7 linked regions of the Ovis aries genome follow. The protein of the gene in region 1 purifies or fractionates together with the protein of each later gene. This does not show direct contact. Links are inferred from orthologs where the notes say so. Each region holds a gene or a part of one and is shown in the gene's direction. Other genes may lie near its edges. The genes, in order: CHD4, ADNP2, ZNF512B, PARP1, ZFHX3, UBTF and ZC3H18.

Region 1 (3,500 bases):
CAAAAACTGTTACAGCCTGGCTGGGAAGTTCGATTCATCCACCCTGTTCATCAGACACTGCACCTTCAGATTTCCATTTATTTTTATCTTTATAAAATTCTGTTAATGTAAAAAAGTTCAGTTCCCTGCAAGACTGTAAAAGGCACCTGGAACAGTTCTTTGCTCAAAAAGATAAGTTTTGGGAACACAGGATTATGAAGTTGCCAGAAAAATGGCAGAAGGTAGTGGAACAAAATGATGGATACATTGTGTAATAAAGTTCTCCAACGTGAAAAATGTGTCTTACATTTACTTAAAAAGGCACTTTTTGGCCAACCCAGTGGAAATACTTTGGGTGGTGAATATTTTCTTTTCCCCACGTTCTGCTCTGTTATGGATGTTTGGACTGCATGATCTCACTTGCTTTCTCCTGATTTAGGTCCCAATGCTCGGAGGAAGCCTAAGGGTAGCCCTCGTGTCCCCGACGCCAAGAAGCCTAAACCCAAGAAAGTAGCTCCCCTGAAAATCAAGCTGGGAGGTTTTGGTTCTAAGAGGAAAAGATCCTCGGTGAGAGCCCAGCCTGTCCCTGTCCCCTGGTGATGGTGCCTTAGCCCGTGGAGAGGATGGTGTCTTAGTTCAGGATTTCACCTTTCACGGTGGTTGCTGAAGTATGTGGGGAGTTGGTCATAGAACAGGACTCTAGGCTCACTGTGTAAGTCCTTGCCGTAATTGCAGTGCCCCAAGTGAAGAGCAATTCCCTTGTCTCCCTTCCCTTGCCTCCCTTCTCCACCACTCTCTTCTTCCCCTTGGCCTGAATCTTGAGTCGTATTTCTTCTCGCCCCATTAGAGTGAGGACGATGACTTAGATGTGGAGTCTGACTTCGACGACGCCAGTATCAATAGCTATTCTGTTTCTGATGGTTCTACTAGCCGCAGTAGCCGCAGTCGCAAGAAACTGCGGACCACAAAAAAGAAAAAGAAAGGTGTGCTGCTTTTCTGTATCAATATGTGACGGGCTGAGGGGAATGACTGGGGAGGCATCTCCCTAAGGAGATGGGGCCTGGGCTTCAGGGGTGGGGGGAGGTGGTCGTTTTCTAATAACTGGGCTTTCCCTCTTCCTTGCCCAGGCGAGGAGGAGGTGACTGCTGTGGATGGTTATGAGACAGACCACCAGGACTATTGTGAGGTGTGCCAGCAAGGCGGAGAGATCATCCTGTGTGACACGTGTCCCCGCGCATACCACATGGTCTGCTTGGACCCGGACATGGAGAAGGCACCCGAGGGCAAGTGGAGCTGCCCACACTGCGTGAGTGCCTGGCTTTGAGGGCAAGGGCTTGGGCGGGGGGAGACACGCTGGTGCTGCTGGCTGTGGGCTTTGGGATGCTCTTGGAGGAATGCTGGGCGTGGTCCAACTAGGTGGGTGGGGGGTGGTTGTAACCTGACTCTGTGGTCCTCAACTTCAGGAGAAGGAAGGCATCCAGTGGGAGGCAAAGGAGGACAATTCGGAGGGCGAGGAGATCCTGGAGGAGGTTGGGGGAGACCCCGAGGAAGAGGATGATCACCACATGGAGTTCTGTCGGGTCTGCAAGGATGGCGGGGAGCTGCTCTGCTGTGACACCTGTCCTTCCTCCTACCACATCCACTGCCTAAACCCCCCCCTCCCAGAGATTCCCAATGGTGAATGGCTGTGTCCCCGCTGCACGGTGAGTGCCTGGCCCCAACTGCGCCAAGGGTTCACCCCTCTTCCATGTGGGCATCTCCAGGCTGAGGTGCAGGAGAGACTGCTGGAGATCTGGAGGCCTTTGAGCCCCGGAACCGGAGTTTTCCTTCCTTTGTGGTCCTGGGATGCCTTTCTCTTGGGAAACTATAGGACTGACTTCCAACAGAGCTGATGCTTTGCCTGTTGTCCCAAGTGGGATGTCACCCAGGACATCCTTTCTTGTCTTGACACCAACCTCGAGGTCTTGGTAGCTCAGTCATATAACGGCCACTTACTGCTGTTACTAGGTTGGTGCAAAAGTAAATGAGGTTTAGCACTGTTGAACTTTGCCATTTGATAATTGGAATACATTCTTAAATGTGGTTTGTGTTATATATACATCATTTTAATGGATATTTCTTGGTTTATGTCTTTTCTAACAACTAGTTATTTTATGTGTATTTTAAGCTGTGGAAATGATGTTAGACAAAAAGCAAATTCAGTCAATTTTCTTATTTGAGTTCAAAATGGGTCATAAAGCAGTGGAGAAAACTCTCAATATCAACAGCACATTTGGCCCAGGAACTGCTAATGAATGTACAGTTCAATAGTGGTTTAAGAAGTCTGGCAAAGGAGATGAGAACTTTGAAGATGAGCGTAGTGGCCAATCATGGGACGTTGACAGTTGAGAGTAATCATCGAAGCTCATCCTCTTAAAACTACGTAAGAATTTGCTGAAGAACTCAACATCAACCATTCTATGGTGGTTCAGCATTTGAAGCAAATTGGAAAGGTTTTGAAGTGTCGTCATATCTTATTCTATGCAACAATGACAAACCATTTCTCAATCAGACTGTGATATGCAACGAAAAGTGTATTTTATGCAATAACTGGCAACAACCAGCTCAGTGGTTGGACTGAGAAAACGCTCCAAAGCATCTGCCAAGCCAAATTTGCACCAAAAAAAGGTCGTGGTCACTGGTGGTCTCCTGCCGGTCTGATCCACTACAGCTTTCTGTATCCCAGTGAAACCATCACATTTTGGAAGTGTGCTCTGCAGATTGTTGAGATGCACTGAAAGCTACAGTGCCTGCAGCCAGCATTGGTCAATGAAAGTGTGTTAGTTGCTCAGTAGTATCCGACTCTTTGCAACCCCATGAACTATAGCCCACCAGGCTCGTCTGTCCGTGGGATTTCCCGGGCAAGAATGCTGGAGTGGGTAGCCATTTCCTTCTCCTGGGGATGTTCCCGACCCAGGGATCGAAGCCCAGTCTCCTGCATTGCAGGGAGATTCTTTATTGTCTGAGTTACCAGACCTACAGCAGTGAAAGGGTTCGATTCTTCTCCATGACAGCACTCAACCATACATGACACAATCAACGCTTCAATCAAAAAGTTGATGTCCAATCAATGTTGAACATCGTGTGGTGATCACACAATGTTCAATCAAAAAGTTGGACAAATTGGGCTACAAAATTTTGCTGCATCTGCCATATTCACCTGACCTCTATGTCTGTTTCTCCCGACTACTGCTACTTCAAGAAGCTTAACAATTTTTTGCAGGGAGAATGCTTCCACAACCAGCATGATGTGGAAAATGCTTTCCAAGAATTCATTGAATCGCGAAGCCTGGATTTTTACGCCACAGGAATAAACTTATTTCTCATTGGCAAAAATGTGTTTATTGTGTTAGTCCCTATTTTGGTTGATAAAACTGTGTTTGAGCCTAGTTATAATGATTAAATTTAAATGTTAAATTTTACAGTCCAAAACTGCAATTATGTTTACACCAATCTAATAGATTAAACGAGGAAATCTGGGC
Region 2 (4,274 bases), on another chromosome or scaffold:
AATCAGTCCTGAATACTCATTGGAAGGACTGTCGAAGCTGAAACTCCAACACTTCGGTCTGATGCGAAGAACTGACTCATTTGAAAAGACCCTGATTCTGGGAAAGATTGAAGGTGGGAGGAAAAGGGGATGACAGACGATAAGAAGGTTGGATGGCATCACTGACTCAATGGATATGAGTTTGACTAGGCTTCGGGAGTTGGTGATGAACAGGGAGGCCTGGCATGCTGGGGTTCATGGGGTCGCAAAGAGTCGGACACAACTGAGCGACTGAACTGAACTGAATGTCTGGGCAATGAGGTGCCGGGCAGGGCAAACAAGGCCCAGGAATGAAGGGACTGGTCCTGAGCGTGAACCGACGCATACTCTGATCAGGACCGTGCTGAGGAAAACGTGTGCACGTGGGGCCGGAGTAGATAGATGGAGACCATTTTTGGTGGTCTTGGTGTTCTGGAAGTAGACATGGTCTTGTGCTGAAAAGTAAGTTGAGGAGGGGCAGGTAATGGCTTGGCAGCTTCAGTGAAGGGAGAAAGGCTGGAGTAGTCACTGAGGAGCGATAAAGTAAAAAAGTTGTTTGCCTGCACAGCAGGCTTCCCCGTTAAACTTCAAGTTCCCAGAGGGCAATGCGGTTCTATTCTTACCCCTTGGGCACTTTACTCAACAGTTGAAGACCCATAGGCATTTTGAAAGCTCCATTCACGTTATGGTACATTCATTTTGAGAAATATATTATCCCTTCACATTTTTTTTTACAAAGCTGGGCAAAAGTGAACTTTCAAGCCATTTAAGAATTTTTATAAATGTATGCAATTAACTTTTTTCCTACACAGCACGTAGTAGCTCTAACTTAAAAATACGAATTCTCAAGAAAAAGTGTGAAATTAATTTCCTTAGGATATAATTACGAAGTCAGGAGACCCTATCCAGTCAGTTCACCAAGATGTACCAAGAGCATCCTTGTCAAAGTTCTGATAGTTCAAGTTCTATCCTCCAATGATAGGGCAGGATTCCCCTGACAGCTGGTTTCCCATTGGCTCTGAGATGTGGGCGGGGCCACCTATTCCTGCTACTGCCACTAGCTCCACCCCACCTCATGCAAATGAAGACCAAGGTCTAGGAAACCCACGTGATTGGTCACGTGAAGGACGACGCACGGGCTCCGCCCCCTCTAGTGACGCCATCACCTCAAACTCTCACGAGAGTTTGTAGATATGGTGAGAGGCTAGCAGGCCAGTTCACTGTAGCAAGAGTGGGGTCAGGGGAGGGGGCTTCAACACAAAACCCCATTCCCACTGCTGAGCCTCCAGTTCAGCTTAAGGCAGGGGCCCAAAGGGGCCTTTGGGACAGTGCCCAGTGGGGGGTCCCATGCATGCTCTTCTCCCATTGGTTGACTGCATCGGCATGCAAATGAGGGTGCGCGTCACTTCCGGAGGCCAATCGAGCGCCATTTTCTCTTTCTGGCCGAGCTGGGAGGAGGGGACGGGGTCGCGCGGGGTGGCGCGCGCCGAGCGGGGGTCCCGCCGCGCGGGGCGGAGGCGGGCGGGCGCGGGGCCCCAGCGGGCGCGGCGAGACGTGCGAGGGACGCGGCGGCGCTGCGGGCGCCCAGCGGTAGGTAACCCCGGCCCGGCCCGCGGCGACGCCCCTGGCCCGGCCTGCGAAGTCCCGGCGGCGGCCCCGCCCCACCCCGCCCACACCCGGCGGCCGGTGGCCGCCTCTCGAATCCCGCGACGTTCTGCCAGCCCGGGGCTCGCGGCCCGAAGGGTGCCCGTCGTCCCTCCGCGTCACGTGGGGCCGGGGTCGAGGGGGGCGGGGATGGGGCCCGGGAGGCGGGGCGGGGGACGGCATCTGGGCGAGGGGAACGCGGGGACAGGGCGGCGGCCGTGGAGGGCCGGGGAAGGGGGCGGGCTGGGAGCCGGAGGGCCGCCCGGAGCGAGCGCGGACGCGGGCCGGGCTGAAGCGCGCTCAGCTGCCTGCGTTGTGGCGGGTTTTTTCTTGAGCGCACAGCTGAGAGGAGCCCCAATTCCTTCACCCTGGAGTTCTCAGTGTGAATACTGATGATGTGCAGATGTTGACATTACAGTTGAACTTTTCACATGCCGCCGCTCACCGCGCTTACGTAGAGCGCGCAGAATTTCTCCTGACTCTTGGCTTGGGAACGTCGAAAATAGTAGCCGCTAGTTCTAACTGAACAGTTGCTAAATAATTAAACGTTTAAAGTATTTTCTTTGAATTTGAATGGGAGGCTTGCCGGAATGCTCTTAAAACTGTTTATAATTGAATGGAATGGGTAATGGCAGCCTCTTGAGACCTGGAGGACTCTTGTGTGTGGTGATTTATGATGCAGATGGGCAAGTGCTTGAGGGCACCGGCGAGCCCCTCAGGGCTCAGCACGCACGTGGGACCGGGAGTCGGGAGGAGCGCTCTGGGGGAGAGGACCACGTAAAAAGTGCGAGTTGAGGAGAGCGCTGTTGGGCTTTGGTTGGAAGTCAAGTAATGTATGTGTAACTTGTTTAGACATACATGTTTACAAATATGTGTAACTTGTTACTGAGTAGGTAGCCATGTTATGAACGAACTTTAATATTCTCGTTGTAATTGGGAGTTTGTTGAGATAGTGGCCTTTAGACATGGAAGTGACCGATCTGTGTGTCGTAAGGGTACTGGTGCTAGTCTGGAGGGGGACTGGAGTTGGGAGGAGACAGGCTCACTCGTCTGACTGAGCAGTGGTAAGGATGTGAGAGCTGGTTTTAGGGTTAGGAGTTGAAGATTGGTGTCGGGAGAGGATGGGGAAGGAAATGGCAACTTACTCCGTATTGCCTGAAGAATTCCATGGACAGAGAAGCGTGGTGGGCTGTAGTCCATGGGGTCGCAAAAAGTCACACGACTGAGCAGCTCAGACACACACACACAAAATTCTTGTAACCACTCTACCTTCCTCTCCAGTAGTGAGTGAGTGAAAGTCGTGTCCGACTCTGTGACGCCGTGGACTGTAGCCCGCCAGGCTCCTCTGTCCATGGAATACTCCAGGCAAGAATGCTGGAGTGGGTAGCCATTCCCTTCTCCAGGGGATCTTCCACCCGAGGATGGAACCCAGATTCTTTACCATGTGTGCTACCAGGGAAGATACCTATCTATATGAAGATATCTGGGACACCTTTTTAATTTGATCCAAGTTTGCAATATGTTTCTGGTGAATTTATGGTTGTAGTCACTTTGAGTGATCACACCCCAGTATTCTGCTGTGGCTGCCACTCTGGTTATCACAGACCTGTTGGCAGTGTGTTACAAGGAGGACACTGAATCATGAGGACTTGCTGAAGGTGCCTGTCAGAGAAGGAATCTTCCTGTATTTGAACCCAGACCTTTGATTCTTGCTTTCATGTATTGTATAAATATCATGTGTTTTAAAAGTTTTACTTAAAAAGAAACAACAAAACCCTGTATTCGAGTAGTTTTAGCATTTCGCTTATATTTTTTGGAGCTTGTTCAGTCATTAAGTCCTGTCTGACTGCCAACACCACCTCCCCTCCCCCCACCAGGACTACAGGATTCCAGTCTCCTCTGTCCTCCCAATATCTCCCAGAGATTGCTCAGATTCAGTCCATTGAGTCAGTGATGCTATCTATAACCATCTCATTCTCTGCCACCCTCTTCTTTTGGATTCAGTCTTTCTGTGGCATCAGCGTTTTTTCCAGCGAGGCCGCATCAGGTGGCTAAAGTATTGGAGCTTCAGCATCAATCCTTCTGGTGCATATTCAGGGTTGATTTCCTTTAGGATGGACTGGTTTGATCTCTCAGTCCAAGGGACTCTAAAGAGTCTTCTCCAGCATCACAATTCAAAAGCATCAATTCTTAGGTGCTCAGCTTTCTTTATGGTCCAGCTCTGACATGTGTACATGACTACTGGAAAAATAATAGCTTTGACTATACAGACCTTTGTCGGCAAAGTGATGTCTTTTTAATACTGTCTAGTTTTGTCATAGCTTTCTTTCCAAGGAGCAAGCGTCTTTTAATTTCATGGCGGCAGTCACTGTCAGCAGTGGTTTTGGAGCTGAAGAAAATAAAATCTGTGACTGCTTCCACAGAATGCCATGATCCTAGTTTTTTGGATGTTGCATTTTAAGTTTTTGGAGTTAGATAATAGCAAACTCACAGTCTTATGTTCTAAGTGCTTTTATTGTGTTAAGTGAATTTTCTTCCTCAAAACTACTGAGTCGGTTGTGCAGTCCCTGTTTTACAGAAGAAACAGTCCCTGGGATTAAGTAACTTGCTAA
Region 3 (3,500 bases), on another chromosome or scaffold:
CTGGGGCCCACCCTACCCTGGCTGTTGGCTTGGGAGTGTCCATATCTGCCCTCTCCACCCAGGGTGCCATCTCAGAAAGGCTGACCTTTCCTTGCCCCTTCTGTGAGGCTGCATTCACCTCCAAGACCCAGCTGGAGAAGCACCGGATTTGGAACCATATGGACCGACCCCTGCCTGCCCCCAAGCCTGGGCCAGTCAGCCGGCCAGTCACTGTCAGTCGGCCGGTTGGGGTTAGCAAGCCCATTGGAGTAAGCAAACCTGTCACTATCAGCAAGCCCATTGGCATCAGCAAGCCAGTGACAGTCAGCCGGCCTGTGCCAGTCTCCAAACCAGTGACAGTCAGCCGACCCGTGCCAGTCACCAAACCAGTGACGATCAGCAGGCCCGTGCCAGTCACTAAAGCTGTCCCGGTCACTAGGCCCATACCAGTCAACAAACCTATACCAGTCACCAAATCTGTACCAATTGCCAAGCCAGTGACAGTCAACAAACCAGTGCCAGTCACCAAACCAGTGACTATCAACAAGTCAGTGCCGATGACAAAGCTTGTAACAGTTACAAAACCTGTGCCAGTTGCGAAGCCAGTGACAGTCAGCAGACCCATCGTGGTCAGTAAGCCAGTGACGGTCAGCAGGCCCATTGCCATCAGCAGACACACGCCACCCTGCAAGGTGGTTCTGCTGACCAAGTCTGAGAACAAAGCTCCTCGGGCTGCAGGGAGGAGCAGCGGTAAGAAAAGGTATGGGGGCTCCTGCCTGGTTGGGACTGGGTGTCCTTAGGGCAGTCCAGGGGTAACAGGGCCCAGAGCGGGTCCTCCTGTCTTTACTCCCTGCTCCCTGTAGGACTGCGGATGGCCTGGACGCCTGCCCCATCCCACCCAAGCATGCGAGGCCAGAGAACGGAGAGTACGGCCCAGCCACCCCAGAGCAGAGCTCGGCCTTCCAGCTGAGCACAGACCCCAGCAGCAGCCCCCTTTCTCTGGGCAGCAGACCCTCAGGGGGCAAGGAGGTGCCAAGGGCTCCAGGCCCCGGGTCCCCGCCTGAGGAGGGTGCAGAGCGCATAAAGCACAGTAAGATGGGATTGGGAGGCAGCAGCCAGGGTGAGGCCAGCAATGAGCCGGCCTGAGCTTACCAATGGTTATTTAACCAGAGTCTTGGCCTCTGTTTTCTCTCTCCTGAGTCAGGAAGGAAACAGAAAACACCCAAGAAGTTTACGGGTGAGCAGCCGTCCATCTCAGGGACTTTTGGACTCAAAGGTGAGGCCTAGACTAAGCCAGGCACCCTCAAGGGCCAGACACACGCTGTGGCCACACCCTCAGCTGACACCTACCTTCCCTGCCTGTTTGCACAGGGCTGGCCAAGGCAGAAGACAAAGCCCGCATCCATAGGGCCAAGAAACAGGAGGGCCCGGGCCCTGAAGACACACGGAAAAAGGGGCCAGCCCCCACCAGCGCTGTCAACAAGGAGGTGCCAGCTCCTATGACCCACCAAGCCTCAGGTAGGGGCTGCTGAGTGGCAAGGCACAGGCCAAGTCTTGATGACGGAGGCAGATCCTGAACCATGGGGACGGGGACTGAGTGTGGGCTTTGGGTTCTGTGCTTGGCGTTACGGTCATCTGGGAGCTCCTGCCCCTCACCTGAGTCCCTGGCCTTGCCCTGCAGGTGGCCCTGAGGAGCAGTGGCAACGGGCCATCCACGAACGGGGGGAGGCTGTCTGCCCCACCTGCAATGTGGTCACCCGCAAGACCCTCGTGGGGCTTAAGAAGCACATGGAAGTGTGTCAGAAGGTAGGGCTGCCCCCTGGCTCGGGAGGGGAGGCACCCCAGGACCGACCTCTCACTAACATGCCCGTCTGCAGCTGCAGGATGCACTGAAGTGTCAGCACTGCCGGAAGCAGTTCAAGTCCAAGGCCGGCCTCAACTACCACACCATGGCTGAGCACAGCACCAAGGTATCCCCTCGGGCCCAGCTGCCATCCATGCTGCCCACTGGCCGCGGGTCTCCTTCCCCCTACCTGCCTGGCTCTGACCACTGGCCTCTCACTAGCACAGCTTAGTGGCTCCCGTGCCTGACTAGGGACATCCGTGGCCCCGGGCAGGGGCGGGCCCCGTGGTGGCGGGGGCACTGAGGCTGGCCTGCCCCTCAGCCCTCTGATGCCGAGGCCTCGGAGGGGAACGAGCAGGAGGAGCGGGAGCGGCTGCGGAAGGTGCTGAAGCAGATGGGCCGATTGCGCTGCCCCCAAGAGGTGAGTGGGCCTGCAGGTGTGGACGCCAGGTGGATGTGGCCTGGCTGCTTACCACACTCACCTGCCCCCTGGAACCCCAGGGCTGCGGGGCCGCCTTCTCTAGTCTCATGGGCTACCAGTACCATCAGCGACGCTGTGGAAAGCCGCCCTGCGAAGTGGAAACCCCGTCCTTCCCCTGCACCCACTGTGGCAAGCCCTACCGCTCCAAAGCAGGCCATGACTACCACGTGCGCTCAGAGCACACAGCCCCGGTGAGTAGCCACAGCCTGGGTGCTCGTTCCTCAGGCCCCTGCCCTGTGGGCTCCCTCTTCCCTCCTGGGGGACTGGTGTGTCGGGGGAATGAATCTGTGATGGGCGCCTGTGCCCCCAGCCTGCTTTCTCCTGTGTTCTCTGTGTGGCACATGCCATGTGGCTCACCAGCTCACCCAGCCTCCCCTCCACAGCCCCCTGAGGAGCCCTCTGACAAGGCCCCTGAGGCTGAGGACCCGCTGGGTGTGGAGCGGACTCCCAGCGGCCGTATCCGCCGCACGTCGGCCCAGGTCGCTGTGTTCCACCTGCAGGAGATCGCAGAGGACGAGCTGGCCCGAGACTGGACCAAGCGGCGGATGAAGGATGACCTGGTACCCGAGACCGCACGGGTGAGCCCTCCTCCCTGTCTCTGAGTGTAAGGCCCCTGGGAGAAACCTGGGCAGTCCGCCCGCCTCCTGGGTGCAGACCTCCCATCCATGGAGGGGAATGTCTGGGTCACCTCCAGCTTACCCTGTCAACTGCTGTGTCTGTAGCTCAACTACACGCGGCCAGGCCTTCCTGTGCTGAACCCCGAGCTGCTGGAGGCATGGAAGAACGAGGTCAAGGAGAAAGGCCACGTCAACTGCCCCAACGATGTGAGCTGGGCAGTCTGGGCAGGCGTGGGAGCTCTGGGACTCAGAACAGAGGGCCCAGGGCTGGCCTTGGGGGGAGACTTCCATGTGGCCCGAGTTTCATAGGCAGAGAGGCCTTGACCTCAGCCCTAGCAGCTCAGCCTGCCACACCCTCTGACTTCTGGGATCACACCCACCCACCTGCCTCAGATGGGCCCCAGATCCCCTGGGCTGGGCAAGGGGTGCATGGTGGTCAGTGGGCTCCTGCTGGAGAGCCTGTCCCCACGGTTACCTCCCACCCCCAGTGCTGTGAAGCCATCTACTCCAGCGTGTCCGGCCTCAAGGCCCACCTGGCCAGCTGCAGCAAGGTCAGTGCCCAGGCCCTCCCCTCAGCCGT
Region 4 (3,500 bases), on another chromosome or scaffold:
ATTTAATGCTTTAAAGTTTGTGGTGAAGGACAGGGAAGCCTGGCGTGCTGCAGTCCATGGGGTCGCAAAGAGTTGGACTGAGCGACTTGTAGATTACTGTATCCCAGTCAACTTTTTAAATGTTTTCATAATTATTTTAATACCATTGACTTCCTTTGTGAACTTACACATTTTATTGTGCATTTTAAAATGTTAGTCTGAGAAAGGGACATCCATAGGCTTCACTGGACAGTCAGAGAGGACCCTGTTCTATTGGGACGTGGGTGAGGAGTAAAGAGGCTGGTTGGCTCTAGTCCAGGCAGTTCCACCAAGTGAGTAATCACTTTCTAAACTAAATAAAGTGTAACATTCTGGGCTCTCCTGCTTACTTGTTAGTGAAGGAAATTTTGTTATTAAAATTAAGTATGATTTTTCTCTAATGGTAATTGAGGGTGGAGTTTACACAAATGTTTTGTAGGTCCTTTAGGCTGAGCTGGTGAAGGCCAGAAAAAAGAAGCCTTTCTTCCCCCACCCCTCCTTTGGATTTAAATACCTTCTTTTACATTTGTGTGGGAGGATTGTTCTTGGAGTATCAAATACCTGATACTTTAGCTGGCAGGCCCTGGGGCAGCTTGGAGGGGAATGCACCCGACCTTGGTGTTCTTGGGAGGGCCTGCAGGAAAGGCCTGCTGCCTTTCTTCCTTTCTTCGTGGTAACAGTTGCTTTGCACTCTCTGGGGTAGGCTGGCCCTGGTGTGGCCTCTTTTTTATAGCCCATTTCTCAGGAAGCAGCCTGAGAGTGGCTCGGTAAGGACCCTGGTACGTGGTGGGCACTTATGTTTGCTGAGTCTACAGCCAAGAATTCTGCTCCTTACTGGAGCCCCGCGACTGCCTGGTGAGGCAATAGTCTTGTGACCTTAGCCTGGTTACTTTCTTGCCATCTCATCCTGTCCTGAGTTCTTAAGTATAAAGCTTTGCACAGATCAAGGGTTCTTTCCTCTGGAGGGAGACCAGTGGCCTCAGCAGTCCTGGAGTTTGTGCCATGAGTATACCCTGGTGGAGGCTTTTCATGTTTGGCACTGTGCCGGTGGCTGGGGACACAGCACTCAGGCCAGAGTTAAAGGAGCACGTATGGGGGCCTCAGAGAGCCAGGAAGAAATCGTGGCCATAGGTTCCAGTGAGGGGTGGGCAGAGCCATGAGTCAGGGGCCCCCTCTCTGCACTTAAAGGAGGCTTAAAGAGGGGCTCCAGGGCAGGCAGAGCCAGGTCAAGGCCACTGCAGATGCTGTAACAAGACGCCCAGGCGTTTAAGGATATGTTGGCTGCCTTGGTGAACGTTTGAGAGCCAGGACACGAGTCTGTTCTCTGAAATGACATTTGTTGACTGGTTGTGGATGGAAGGGCTGTCTCGGAGTAAGCATCTTTCCCACAGCAGGAGCTCCTCCATCCTTCCTTTCTTCCTCTTCCCTCCAGACCTGGGGCACCCCACAAATGTTCTGAGTGCCTGCCGTGACTGTGCTGGCAAGACAGGCATTGCATGGCGCCTCTCTGGCAGCTCCTGACCCGACGCAGGGCACAGGCCTTGATCAAATAATAACCCAAATGAATCTTAACTCTGGGGAGCTATGGGAAGGGGCATCTGTCATGGGACATGAGGAAGTGCTGTTGGCTCTGGTTAGAGCTGGGGAGCCCAGGGGACAGCCATTGCCGCTGTAAACCCACGCTGCGCAACCCTGCGTCCTTGTGCCCCAGCCGTTAACCCTGTATTGTATTCAATGCTGTCTATAAAACCCAGAGAGAGGCTGCTCACCTAGTAGGAGAGGGCCAGTTGGGAGAGCTTGTCCCTGCTTTTCCTTAGCACTTTCTGTGTCCGCATGACTCCATCCTAAACGTTCTGCTGGGTGTTTATTTTTAACGCTGTTTTATGCCATCTGCTTGACATTTAGATTTCTGTCCTATCAAAGCAGATGTTTGGCACCTTCAGTCAGAAGAACCGTTTGTGTATTTTTAAGTACCTCTTCCTGCCGAGCGACGTAGAGCAGCGTAGTGGAAAGAACCGGGGCTGAATCACCTGCTGCATGTCTGACCGCACCCCCATGAGACTGTGAAATGAGGGTGCTGGTTCCTCAGAGACAGCTGTGGGGTGGCCCATGGTGGGTGGTGGGCAGCAGGGTCCCTCCAGCCCCTGGGGGTGGGGTGCCGCCCTGCCGGTCCCTTTCAGTCTCCCTCATGGAAGTCCTTCATTCCGTGCACATCTGCCTGGCTGCTGCCGGCAGGCCACTTCTCTGACACATCTGCTCAGCCTGGCGCTCATCGGGGACTCATTCCCCGCTGTCCTAGGTGCATGGAGCCCTGGGGGCCACGCGGGCCCTGGCGGTGGTCCGCTGGGGGGGGGGGGGCGCCAGAAAGCAGGACGGGCACCTCCTATGCCCTCGCCAAGCTCTGAGCTGAGTTTGCGACGGAAACGCAGTGGCAAGTTTGGTAACCGCGCTCAGGGCTGAACGCTAAGCTGAAGTGCCGGTCAACCCCACGGGATGGCCTGGTGCCTGTCCCAGGGCAGGCAAGGCAGCTTCCTCAGCTGAGGGGTGGGTGCCGTCCTCTGTTGACAGATAAGCAAGGGGGTTGGGGATGTCTGGTGCTGAGGCCCGCGCCTGAGGCTCACAGCTCTTTTTCCACCTCTGATTCCGCCCTTCTAGTCGCCCATGTTCGATGGGAAAATCCCACACTGGCACCACCTCTCCTGCTTCTGGAAGGTCGGCCACTCCATCTGGCACCCTGATGTTGAGGTGGAGGGGTTCTCTGAGCTCCGCTGGGATGACCAGCAGAAGATCAAGAAGATGGCCGAGACTGGAGGAGCGACAGGTGTGTGCCCAGCGGGGAGGTGCGGGGGTCGCCCCAACCCTGGAGCTTCCTGGGCAGGGGCCTGCTCTGTGAGAGCAAAGAGTAGGTCCTTCAGCTCACTCTCCCGTTACTCCAGCAGCATCCCAATGACCCAGAGTTGTCCTGTTGGTACAGGATATGTTAACTTCTAGATGCTTGAAATGTAGCCTTTAAATTTGCTGTGGTGGTTATCTTACTAGACCCTCTTTTAGAGTGGTTTCAGGTTCACAGCACAATTAAGCAAAAAGTATGGAAAGTGGAGAGTTTCCACAGAGGCGTGACCTCTTCCACCTTCAGCTTCTCCCAGCAGCTGAAGTTACGTTGACACATCAGTTCACCCAAAGTCCAGAGTTTATATCAGCCTTCAGTCGTGGTGGTGTACATCTTTCCTGTAAGGGTTTGGGCAAATGTATAATGACATATCCATCATTATAACGTCATTCAGAGTATTTCCATTGCTCTATAAAATTCCTCTGCATTCTACCGGTTCATCCCTCCATCTCCCAACCCCTGGCAACCACTGATGTTTTTCCTATATCCATAGTTTCATCCTTTCTAGAATATTGTGTCGTTAGAATCACACAGTATGTAACCTTTTCAAATTGGCTTATCTCACTCAGTAATATACATTTAAGTTTCCTGC
Region 5 (3,500 bases), on another chromosome or scaffold:
GCAATGCTGTTAGACTGTGATGGGGGACTGCAGATGAAGGGAGATATTTTTGATGGAACTAGCTTTTCCCACCTACCCCCAAGTAGTAGTGATGGCCAAGGTGTTCCCCTCTCACCTGTGAGCAAAACCATGGAGTTGTCTCCCAGGACTCTTCTGAGTCCTTCTTCCATCAAGGTGGAAGGCATAGAAGATTTTGAAAGCCCCTCCATGTCCTCTGTTAATCTAAACTTTGACCAGACTAAGCTGGACAACGATGACTGTTCCTCAGTCAATACAGCGATCACAGATACCACTACTGGAGACGAGGGCAATGCAGATAACGATAGTGCGACGGGAATAGCAACTGAAACCAAATCCTCTTCTGCGCCCAGTGAAGGGCTGACCAAAGCGGCCATGATGGCAATGTCCGAGTATGAAGATCGGCTGTCATCTGGCCTGGTCAGCCCAGCTCCCAGCTTTTACAGCAAGGAATATGACAATGAAGGTACCGTGGACTACAGTGAAACCTCAAGCCTTGCAGACCCCTGCTCTCCAAGCCCTGGTGTGAGTGGGTCAGCAGGCAAATCTGGAGACAGTGGGGATCGGCCCGGGCAGAAACGTTTTCGCACTCAAATGACCAATCTGCAGCTGAAGGTCCTCAAGTCATGCTTCAATGACTACCGGACACCCACCATGCTGGAGTGTGAAGTCCTGGGCAATGACATTGGACTGCCAAAGAGAGTTGTTCAGGTCTGGTTCCAGAATGCCCGGGCAAAAGAAAAGAAGTCCAAGTTAAGCATGGCCAAGCATTTTGGTATAAACCAAACGAGTTACGAGGGACCCAAAACAGAGTGCACTTTGTGTGGCATCAAGTACAGCGCTCGGCTGTCTGTACGTGACCATATCTTTTCCCAACAGCATATCTCCAAAGTTAAAGACACCATTGGAAGCCAGCTGGACAAGGAGAAAGAGTACTTTGACCCAGCCACTGTTCGTCAGCTGATGGCTCAACAAGAGCTGGACCGGATTAAAAAGGCCAATGAGGTCCTTGGACTGGCAGCTCAGCAGCAAGGGATGTTCGACAACGCCCCTCTGCAGGCTCTCAACCTTCCTACGGCATACCCAGCGCTCCAGGGCATTCCTCCTGTGTTGCTCCCCGGCCTCAACAGCCCTTCCCTGCCAGGCTTCACTCCATCCAACACAGGTGGGTTCTGCTCTCAGTGATTCTCCCAGTAGTAAAGAGCCACCACACAAAACCTGAGTGCTGGGAGGCTCCACATTCCTAGTTCTCTAACTGCAATAGAATTTCAGGTCCCTTCCATTGAGTCTCCCGAGAGCTGTGATGTACATGATCCTCCACTTCCCAGTCCAAGAATGGGGACCCTGGAGTTGGAACCATCTCCTGAAACCATACTTCTGCCTGGTGTTCAGCACAGACCAGGGTGTATGCTGTGGGCATGAACTGGAGGGTTCTGGTGTACTAGATCCTGGGGTGTTTTTGAGACAGCAGTTTCCATTATGGACCCTTCCATTCAGTCTTTGTGGAAATGCAGATCCCATCTAGAAATCTATTGAAAATATAAAACATTTGAACATCTTAGCTAATTCTGGGTTGTGCCCTCTGGATACAGGTGCAAAAGAATTTAAATAAACTCTTTGCTGTTCCCTGAGGTCCCGCCTCCTGTTTCAGAGACCTGTTCTGGCAGGAGAGATGCTACCAGGAAGTAGCTCTCACAAGCTGGAGCCTTACTCCTGGGGTTCCCTTTGATTCAGAAACACAGTGGTGTGTTAGTCTGGGGTTTTGGCTGTAGCATGTGGGATCTTAGTTCCCTGTCTAGGGATTGAACCCACACACCCTGCAGTGGAAGCATGGAGTCTTAACCACTGGACCACCCTCTAGTTTCTAATTAGACTACCTCTATACTGGAATGCACTGACCAGGAACTTGTATTGTGCAATGTGGTTCTGAATTATGACGTGTTTTATAGTCATCTAAACTGAAAATGTTTATTTTTAGGGGTGTTCAATCACCTCTTCATTTCCTTCTGCCCATTTCCCTTTCTAATGCAGAGTCACACACTTGGTACTCATTTTTCTACCTCATAGGGAGTTCCACAGTTCTTCCTGTGTGCCTCTCTTGTTCCTCCTCCTCCTCCTCGTTCTTCACCTGTCTTCTCTGGATCCAGCTGTCTTTCCTAAATTGGACCCTCACCCCTCTAGGAAGGATCCTGTGAGGCTTAGCACGAGTTAGTAAGTCCCCCACAGCCTACATTGACCAGTGCACATTCACTAAAGCAGAGCCCTTCAGTGTGCCTCCTTATCTTCGAAATGTCCCAGTTCCCAGGGGCTCTAGCGACTCAGCTGCTTCCCTGCTTTCTGGTTGAATTAAATCCAAGTTTTATAACTTTGGCAGTGGTTTTACAGGACATGAAGCTACCTCATTCCAAATCCCACTTTCTTATCCTAAGAGAAGAAAGCATTCAGATATAGAAGTCGCTGCTTACCTGTGTTGACGAGTAGTATCACAGAATGATAATAAGAGTCAGCTAAATAGAGTCGCCAGGAAACAGGCGACGGGAAGTGGCTGAGTACTGAGCTACTTCCGCAGCCTGGGACCTCGGCAGAGGGGCTTGGGAAGGCCCAACATTTCATAGTAATGAGAAAGAATTAGAATGTCTGATCTGTTCCCCTTGTTTTACAGATGAGAAAACTGAGGCCCAGAGAGGTCAAGACCATTCAGCAAGCTAGGGCAGGAGCCAGAGCTCCCGCCCAGGCCTCCAGGCTCCCAGTGCGATGCACTGTACTCCTTCCACAGCACCCAGTATAAAGCCAGTCAGTCAACGGGTATATGCTTAGTGCTCCTCAGGTTCTGATCACTTACAGTGGACTCCAGGTAGGAAGATAGGCTCTTAATCATTCAAGGCAGCCAGGCATGCCCCAGTTACCACCACCGACTGAACCACAGCTCCCAGGAGTACTGCATCTGGAATTAGGAAAGAAAGGAGTATGTCAGGCCCAATGGTAAGCTCTTCCCGTGACCTTCCATTTCCTCCCCACACCCATCTACTGTGGAAAGCCAAGCTTCCAAGCATCACATGGCAGACGTGTCAGCCACAGTCCACACCGCATCAGGAGATGCCTCAGCCACTCCAGGAGTGTACGCCTCGCGTGGTTCTGACCTTACAGATGAGAAAACCAAAGCCACAGGGTTACTGTGAGAATGTACTAAGCTGCTTTACTGAGTGAACACACCTAGTGCAGAGCCTGGTAAATAGCAGAGGTTCAGTACATGTTCCTTAAAATGGAACCTCTTTTGTCCTATCAGTTCTTCTCTGGGAGCCTGACGCCATAGGGATGGGGCAATCAGGAGGCATTTCTTCTCCGCCCTGCTGAACCCCTGGCTCTGGCTGCAGCTCCAACCTAAAACCTAGAGCAAGCCTTTTGCCTCGAAGTAGACAGAGCCATGTCCGGAGTGTGGAATTCATTATCTGGTCTGTCCCTGCCTTGTTTGTGCTACCTTA
Region 6 (3,964 bases), on another chromosome or scaffold:
CTGGAAACCTGGGACTTCTGACTCCAAACCCTTTGATGTTTCGAAGTCAAAACAAGAAAGTCATTCCCTGCAGGTTCTAAGTTGGAGAAGGAAATGGCAACCCACTCCAGTATTCTTGCCTGGAGAATCCCAGAGTCGGAGGAGCCTGGTGGGCTGCCGTCTGTGGGGTCACGCAGAGTCGGACACGACTGAAGCGACTTAGCAGCAGCAGCAGCAGGTTCTAAGTACAGCGTGACATGGCTTGGTCCTTCACAAAATGCCCTCTGTAAGTTCCAAGGGCAGAACTGGGTTTGTGGGGAGGGGGAGGGGCGAGTAAAAAATAATACCAAATGATGAATCAAAAGTAAAGAGATAGCCTGCGATGAGGGCCCTGAAGCTTAAGCTTCACTAGCATCAAGGTAAATTGGCCCCGCCTACCCACTAAAAAATTCGGACACACCAGATCTTGACAAGATTTTCCTCCCGGTTTGTGAAACGTGGCAGATGTGGGCTGTGGAAGTCCTGGGAAAGGACTCTCAGTTCTCCCAGGGGACAAGATAAATTACAGCAACAGCGAGGCCGTGGTGTGGGGATGGAGAAGGCTGTGTGACAGGGGAAGAGTCCAAAGGGGCCGGCGGCCCAGCTGGCAGTGCCGCTGTGGTAGGCTGGCATCCCTAGAGCCGGGGGCGATGGCGCCGCCCCGGAGCGATGGCCCAAACCGTAGGCTCGCCTGATGGAAGCAAGCGTTCTTCAGACCGTCTTCTGGCTTCCTGCGTCCAGATGAACCTTTCTCGGTGGAGGAGAGGCAGAGACAGACAACCGCAGCCGACGGCAGTGGGAGGGTAGATGGTGGTCGCGCCTAGGCCTTTCTATCTCCGGCCCGCAGGATGGTGGAGAGCGGAGGCCTACGGGAAGGCTGCCCCGCTGGGGCTCTGGCGGCGAGGCCGGGGTGCCAGGCTCCCCTCGCGGCTCCCCGCCGCCGCCGGGGGGAGGAGGGGCAGGGGGAGCAGAGCCCGCGGCCTGCTTTCCCAGGGCTGGCCAAGCCTTTTTGACAAGCTGATAGCGTGCCGGGGATTGGCTGGTCCGGGCGTGACGCCGGTTAACAACAAAGGTGGAGTTGGAAGAAATTAGATTAAAGGAGGGGGGGGGGGGTTTGGAAATTAAAGGGGGAGCAGGCTGGAGACTGGAGGCAGAGACCGAAGGGGAGATGCGCGAAGCGCGGTCTCGCGGCTCCGCTTCGCCCCGGAATCCCCTTCGCCTAAACCCACCGGGATTTTTGCTCTCAACCGACTCCCGCGGCCCAGCTACCGAAGCAGGGGTGGGACGGATGGTTGCTGCTTCTTGAAAAATGCCCCCAACTCTCACCCTGACACCCCTTTACTATGGCCCAAGGGGAGAACTCTTTGCTCGGACTCCTCGGATCCTAAACTCGGAGGAGGTGAGGGGCATTGAGAATAGCGAGAGGTTCGCTCTAAAACCCGGAAGGCCCTCGCGGGGCACCGAGAACGGACGAGGCGGGGCACTCCCCCGGTTTTCCAATGTGTTGCAAACCTAAGAGCTTTTCTTGCTTGCTTTTTTTTTTTTTTTTTGGTAACACCCTTCCCCCCCTTTTCTCTCCCCCCCACCCTGCTTTGGCTCCAGGGTTGCAAAAGCAAAGAGCAATAAAAAAAAAAAAAAAAAAAGAAAGAAACCCGCGCATACACTCAGACACACACCAGTGGCGACAGGGGAGAGTTGGAAAGACGCAGGAGAGAAGCAGGAGGCAGCGGGGAGGGAGCAATGGGAGCGGGAAGCCGGCAGGTTCCCTCGCAAATCCCCCTCCGGCCCAACGTCGCCTCGCCGGCCCCGGCAGGGGAGCGAGGAGCCGGGCGAGCAGATGGAGGAGTGGAGCTCGCTCTAGGCAGCAGGCTTGGCCGGAGAATGGAGGAGCCGCCAAGCGATCGGCTGATTGGAAGAGAAACGCAGAGCGATGGAGGCGGGGGTAGGAGGACGATTTCTCTGCGGGGACTGGCGGCGGCGTATACGCCCGGGTCGGGCGCTGCAGAGCTTGGCTAGCTTTCAACCCGCGCTCGCCGGCTCCAGCCCCACGCGCCCCCACCCCCAGCCCTCCCGGCGGCTCCGCAGGTGAGTGCGAGCTGGGGGCAAAAAGACTCGAAAGTCTCAACACGCCCGCCCTGCCAAAAGGAGGAAAAAAAAAGAAAAGCATTTTTCCTTTTCTTTTTTTTTATTTTCGTGCAGCCCCCAGCACGGTGGGAGGGAAGGGGTGAGGCTGAGTCGCCCGGAGGAGGCGGAGGGGCCAGGCGAGGCCGGGGTGGCCCGGGAGGCGGCGGCGCCGAGGCGGCTCTGACGGGCTAGCGCTCGGAGCGGCGCTGCGCTGCGCCGAGGCGGGCGGGCGGGCGGGCGGAGCGGGGCGGGCGGAGCGCGGCGCGTGGGGCTCGCCATTAGCCGTCGCTCCGCTTCGCCATCTCGGGCTTTGTCTGGCGGCTTGCTGCCCCGGCGTCGGCTGCGGCGGAGCTGCGGCTCAGCTCTTCGGCCCGCCGCACCCTTAAGGCGCCCTTGGCCCGTGCTCCCATTCACACGCTCGGTAAGTGAGCCCCGGCGCCGCGGATTTCGGGGGAGAGGGGTTTCTACGAGTGGCGGCGGCGCCGATCTCCATGCGCCCGGGCAGGCCTGGGGAGCCATGCCGGGCTGGATTGAACCAGCTCCCACAGAGGCTCCTCCGCCGACTCGTAGCTTTATCGCCGCTTGTGGGATTTAAAGAGCAAAGAAGATTTTTTTTTTCTGTTTTAATTTGCAAAGAGGACATTTTTTAGGGATTTTTTTTTTTTTCAAGTTTCGTGTGTGTGCTGCTTAGCAGCGAGGCAGGCTCCGAAGCCTGGCACGGCGATTGGCTTGCGTGCGCCCCAAGCCGGTGGCTACGCTCCGGGGATAAGGGTGGGCGCGAAATGCCCGCTCCGGGAGGCGGGCGAGTGAGCGGGTGAGGGCTGGAGTGGAAGCCCGAATCTGAGCTGGGGGAGAGAGCTCTGGAGCTGGGCTGCAAACACCCCCGGAGCCTCTCCAGCTGCCGGGGGGCCCTCCGGCACCCTCTCTGCGGTCGCGCCTCGCGCCCTCCCTCCTGCGCCGGCCGAGCCTGCTAGTTCCCCCGCGGGTCTGGCGAGGTCGCTCTCGGCGCCCGCCCGCCTCGGCTCCGAGCCCCGCCGCCATCCGGGCGGCTGCGTGTCTCCCTGCCCCGACCCCCCCCCCCCCTCCCCGGCGGCAGCAGCAGCCGCCGCCGCCGCCACCACCACCACCACCACCAGCACTACCCCCCTCCCCTCCTTCCTTCCCTCCGCCTCGGCCGCCCGGGTCCCCCCAGCTCCCGCCCCTCCTCCCAGCTGCCCCCCGCGGAGCCCGCCCGGGCAGGCTGTGGGAGGGAGCGGAGCCGGCGAGGCGGGCGGGCTGGCGCTCGCTCCCCGGGGGTCGGTGTGCGCTCTACGGGGAAGGACGCGCTCGCTGCCCCGCTTCTCCCGCCCCCCCTCCCGCTCCTCCTCCTCCCTTCTCCCTCCTCCTCCCCGCTCCGGCGGCGGAGGCTGCGGCGGCGGCGGGGGGTGTGCGAGCTGAGGCCGGGGCCGGCGGGCGGGCGGCGGGCGGGCTGCCTGCAGGCGGAGGGCGCTGTGCTTTGTGCTTTTCGCCGCGAGGAGCAGCAGGCAGCAGCCACAGCCGCAGCCGCCGCCGCCACAGCAGCAGCCGCCGCCCCAGCGCCGCCGCCGCCGCGCCCGGAGGAGGAGCCGCTGCCGCCGCGGGAGGGAGCTGCGGCTGTGCCCGGCCGAGCGGGGGAGGGCGCCGCCGATCAGAGCCGGGGAGGGAGCCGCCGGAGCGGGAAGCCCGGAGGCCGCGCTGCGCCGGGTAACCGAGGCGGCTGAGGACGCGCGCCGGGTCGGGGCCGGGGCCAGGCGGCGGGGAGCGAGCCGTGGGTGCGGTGGACGCCTGGAGACCCGGGGCGAGT
Region 7 (3,500 bases), on another chromosome or scaffold:
GGCCTCGTCGGTCACCAGGGACCTGGATGAGCACGAGCTAGATTACGATGAGGAGGTGCCCGAGGAGCCGGCCCCTGGCGCGCAGGAGGACGACGCTGAGAAGGCCGGGCCTGAGGATGATGATGAGCGTGGAGAGGGGGCTCCTGGGGAGGAGGGGAAGGCGGGGGTCCGCACCGTGGAGGACAAGGAGCCCCCGGAGGCTGCCAAGGAGAAGAGGAAAGAGGATGATGACGGGGAGATCGACGACGGGGAGATTGATGTGAGTAGGCGCGGTGGGCGCCCTGAGGAGGGGTCGGGGGGCTGGCGCTGGGGCCGTTGACCTGGTGCTGAGGGGGCACTGAAGGCATGGAGACTAGCCTGGCCTGGAGTCGGCAGCTGGCAGAAGTTCCACAGACCCTCACTCATCTGTCTGGTGCTGTTGGTTGGATTGTGTTAAAACTTTGGATTTTTTTTTTTTAAGCATTTTTTTTTGTGCCTTTTTTTTTTTTTTCCCTGTGTTTAAGTACTATTTGAGTTAGTGTTCAACTAGAACCATTGTGGATTTCAATTCCTGTTACATTCTCGAGACTGAGGAAACTTCCTTCCAGTTTTGTCCATTATTTTGGCCATTTTTCTCTTTGTCTTCTGCTGAGGGTCTTCTCTAGGCCAAGCTTCCTTGGAAGTGTCTCCTTGGGACTGCAGAAAATGGGATTGTGTGTCAGAGCACTTTGACTTTTGACCATCACATTCTTTTAACTTTATTAATCTGGCCTTTCAGGTTAAGGAGAAGGTATCTGGTAATAATTGTCTTAGTTGTGGGCAGTTGGGATTTATGATAGATAATCCTGATGCAAGAACTTCCTTCGCCATCTTTTAAGAGGTTGAATTTTGGGGAGGGAAGAATCTGAAGTCCTGCTGATAAATGCTTTTACTCAAAGGAGGGGAGAGACAGACAGAGCAGATTGACAGGACCTGGAGTTTTAATATCCCAGGAAGGGGATTCTGCTCATGGGAGAGGCACTGAGGGGAGGGGTGTGAGGAATAGCTCCCAGAAATGCTCTGGATCGCCGAAGGAGGGGGTTGTTGGTTAAGTGTGTGAGTTGGATTTCCCTGACACGCTGGCTTCTCTGGCAGCTAGTACGTATGCCGCATCTTGGGGCCATGGTTGTGCCTGGTACTGCTTCTCGAACTTCATGAGAACAGAACTTTGTGGGGCATTACAAGCTCATGTGTGCAGTTACAAGCTTAGATCTTTTGTCTTCTCGCAACTAAGCGTAGCAGATGGTCTCCTAAGCCAGTAGCCACTGCTTGTTAGTGTACTTACAAAGGTGTTGTCGGGACATTGTCTGTGAGCATTCTTAGGTTCTGCCATCTGAGCTTCCCTTGCAATTTGGGAAATTCTCAACCAGAGGGTTGCCAGAGGCAAAAGAGATGCCATGAGACTCCAGTTAATCAGTTTGGATGACATTTGGGGCAGAAGACGAAATCATTGATTGAGGTTGCCCATTAGTTTGGTCTCTCAGTTTACAAAAAGAAAAGCTGAGTCAGTGTCCTGCCCGTAGGACATGGGGCTGTTAGTGACGGGACGTGCGGCCAGCGGGTCTGGGCAGTCCTCCCCCTTTAAGAAAGGACGAGGTGCAAGCTCTTCTTGCTTCAGCTGTGAATGGTCCGTAGGGCAAGTTCATCGACTTCTCAGCCTTTCCATGCTCACATGCAGTCAGATATCTCCCCACAGGTCCTGGGGGCTCTCCCACCTGCACTGAGTTAGATGTCGTGGCCTAGGACATGGCGTTGACCTGAGCTGGCCCAGGAAAACACCTGTTGTTTGGAGATAGCTGATTTCTTCAGAAACAACGTGAGAAGTAGACATCCAGGTTGACTTTCTTGCCCACTTGACCCTAGATGGTTGTTTATTTGACTTGTACCTGCCTGGCCTCTAAAGAGGGCCCCAGAGCCCCCCTGGGCCCAGGCCCCGCTTCATTCAGCCACAGGGTGGCGTGTCCGTCCACAGGCACCCCCACGGGCCCCGCAGTGTGCTGGGCTCGTTGTGACACGCAGGGGCGTGACCAGGCAGAGCAGAGCCTGTCGCCCCTCCAGACAGGCAGGCCTGGACAGGGCTCGCCCTATGAATGGAGACTCAGGCCCTCATGGGAGCCCCTCTGGTTCACGTGTGCCCAGCTGCCTGCATTCCAGGCTCCTCCCCATTCTTTGATCACCTGCTTAGATGTTACGCCCTTTCTGTGGGCTCTGCCCCTTTCTGGCGTGTCAAGCTTGGTGCTTTTGCTGTGATTCCACAGTCTGAACTGACTGGGTCGTCAGTGTGTGTGTTCTTGTTGCTCTTTAGCACCCTCACCTCCAAGAACACAAGTGATTTACCCTTCTTTGAACTGAGAAGTGCTTTTCTCTGTTGGGGTACACTGACCTGCTTTTTTCCTTTGTAGGCTTTGGGTCACTGGGACAGGTCAGTTCGTTTGGCAGGAGTAAGCTCCCTCTCCCCAGCTTTTCCACTTTCTTGGTGGTTTCCTTGGTAGTGACATCAGTTTGTACAACGAACCTTTGACATTCTTCTGTTTGAACCACGTGGTTTATAACTCAGGCCTTGAATGACTTGTACGTATTTTGGTGAGCTACCTTCAGATACCAGTGCCCTTCTGGAAGTGCCACTTCCCTGCTGCAGTGGGAGGGGATTTTGCAAACATGATTGTGGGCCAGCTATTTATAGCATCTAGCTTATTTGTGGAGGGGGCCGAGGGTCCCCGCCAAGTGACAGCTGAAGCATGGGTGAACTTGACTTAGTCAGTGGTCTCACCTGTGCTGGCAGCTCAGACAGCCGAATGGCACGAGCGGCCGTGTGTGCCTTGTGTGGTCCTGCACAGAGCCTCCTCCCTCCAGGGTCTGTGACTTGCCTTTGCAGACTCCAGTCCTTCCATCTTTGGCCCTTCCATCGTCTCCTCCGCTTTTTGACTTGGTTCTGTTTTTATGTCTCGCATGTCATCTGGTTAACAAAACTTTGGCACCTGGTGTGTGTCATCCACTTGGGAAGGGGCGGAGTATTCTGTTCCTTCCTGGCTTTGGTCAATGACTGTTGCACTGGTAGGGTGGCTGCTCGGAGACGGTGGGACAGGGCCTGCACCCTGAGTGGACTGTCCACACTGCTGCTCAGGCAGAAGTGATGGCTCCTGGCCCAGCCAGGGATGAATACAGCTCTGAAGCCTTTTCTTTGCATACGGGCTTTGTCTTTTCTCAGGCTCACATCTGCCTGCTCCTTTCATGTCTGGACACACAGCATCTTGTACCAAAGGATTTAGGGGCTTAGAAATCTGGGGCATTCGCAGCACTGCCCTCTGGTGGGAGGCGGAGAAGCCGCGGAGGCCTGGCCCCAAGGCATTCAATCAGGCCTCCCACCTCCCTCTGCTTGGCTAGTCGGGGCTGGACCACTGTGCTTGCTTAGCCGAGCAGCCCAGAAGCTCTGGGGTAGGAAGGCTGCCTTCCAGCCAGCGCCCAACATGCTGGAACCTGTT

Evidence for each region.
Region 2: the proteins of CHD4 (region 1) and ADNP2 purify together in Homo sapiens (affinity purification with mass spectrometry; 3 studies listed by BioGRID and IntAct, with this or other methods). This does not show direct contact. The link is inferred for Ovis aries from reciprocal best matches to the Homo sapiens genes CHD4 and ADNP2.
Region 3: the proteins of CHD4 (region 1) and ZNF512B purify together in Homo sapiens (affinity purification with mass spectrometry; 4 studies listed by BioGRID and IntAct, with this or other methods). This does not show direct contact. The link is inferred for Ovis aries from reciprocal best matches to the Homo sapiens genes CHD4 and ZNF512B.
Region 4: the proteins of CHD4 (region 1) and PARP1 purify together in Homo sapiens (affinity purification with mass spectrometry; 4 studies listed by BioGRID and IntAct, with this or other methods). This does not show direct contact. The link is inferred for Ovis aries from reciprocal best matches to the Homo sapiens genes CHD4 and PARP1.
Region 5: the proteins of CHD4 (region 1) and ZFHX3 purify together in Homo sapiens (affinity purification with mass spectrometry, with the first as the bait; 3 studies listed by BioGRID). This does not show direct contact. The link is inferred for Ovis aries from reciprocal best matches to the Homo sapiens genes CHD4 and ZFHX3.
Region 6: the proteins of CHD4 (region 1) and UBTF purify together in Homo sapiens (affinity purification with mass spectrometry, with the first as the bait; 3 studies listed by BioGRID). This does not show direct contact. The link is inferred for Ovis aries from reciprocal best matches to the Homo sapiens genes CHD4 and UBTF.
Region 7: the proteins of CHD4 (region 1) and ZC3H18 purify together in Homo sapiens (affinity purification with mass spectrometry; 3 studies listed by BioGRID). This does not show direct contact. The link is inferred for Ovis aries from reciprocal best matches to the Homo sapiens genes CHD4 and ZC3H18.

Annotation. Positions count from the first base shown.
Region 1 is NC_056056.1:209,658,248-209,661,747, forward strand, and holds part of CHD4 (chromodomain-helicase-DNA-binding protein 4), read left to right. Parts: intron 1-418; coding exon 419-546; intron 547-826; coding exon 827-962; intron 963-1,106; coding exon 1,107-1,285; intron 1,286-1,442; coding exon 1,443-1,682; intron 1,683-3,500. UniProt on the Homo sapiens protein: ATP-dependent chromatin-remodeling factor that binds and distorts nucleosomal DNA. Acts as a component of the histone deacetylase NuRD complex which participates in the remodeling of chromatin.
Region 2 is NC_056076.1:643,766-648,039, reverse strand, and holds the start of ADNP2 (activity-dependent neuroprotector homeobox protein 2), read left to right. Parts: upstream 1-1,474; 5' UTR 1,475-1,608; intron 1,609-4,274. UniProt on the Homo sapiens protein: May be involved in transcriptional regulation. May play a role in neuronal function; perhaps involved in protection of brain tissues from oxidative stress. May be involved in erythroid differentiation.
Region 3 is NC_056066.1:53,582,371-53,585,870, forward strand, and holds part of ZNF512B (zinc finger protein 512B), read left to right. Parts: intron 1-62; coding exon 63-739; intron 740-842; coding exon 843-1,069; intron 1,070-1,183; coding exon 1,184-1,255; intron 1,256-1,350; coding exon 1,351-1,497; intron 1,498-1,660; coding exon 1,661-1,785; intron 1,786-1,856; coding exon 1,857-1,949; intron 1,950-2,144; coding exon 2,145-2,243; intron 2,244-2,323; coding exon 2,324-2,494; intron 2,495-2,686; coding exon 2,687-2,881; intron 2,882-3,025; coding exon 3,026-3,127; intron 3,128-3,408; coding exon 3,409-3,471; intron 3,472-3,500. UniProt on the Homo sapiens protein: Involved in transcriptional regulation by repressing gene expression. Associates with the nucleosome remodeling and histone deacetylase (NuRD) complex, which promotes transcriptional repression by histone deacetylation and nucleosome remodeling.
Region 4 is NC_056065.1:28,693,606-28,697,105, reverse strand, and holds part of PARP1 (poly [ADP-ribose] polymerase 1), read left to right. Parts: intron 1-2,673; coding exon 2,674-2,839; intron 2,840-3,500. UniProt on the Homo sapiens protein: Poly-ADP-ribosyltransferase that mediates poly-ADP-ribosylation of proteins and plays a key role in DNA repair.
Region 5 is NC_056067.1:37,912,013-37,915,512, forward strand, and holds part of ZFHX3 (zinc finger homeobox protein 3), read left to right. Parts: coding exon 1-1,183; intron 1,184-2,860; exon of another isoform or gene 2,861-2,962; intron 2,963-3,500.
Region 6 is NC_056064.1:43,773,890-43,777,853, reverse strand, and holds the start of UBTF (nucleolar transcription factor 1), read left to right. Parts: upstream 1-1,164; 5' UTR 1,165-1,417; intron 1,418-1,999; exon of another isoform or gene 2,000-2,103; intron 2,104-2,293; exon of another isoform or gene 2,294-3,964. UniProt on the Homo sapiens protein: Recognizes the ribosomal RNA gene promoter and activates transcription mediated by RNA polymerase I (Pol I) through cooperative interactions with the transcription factor SL1/TIF-IB complex.
Region 7 is NC_056067.1:13,386,982-13,390,481, forward strand, and holds part of ZC3H18 (zinc finger CCCH domain-containing protein 18), read left to right. Parts: coding exon 1-259; intron 260-3,500.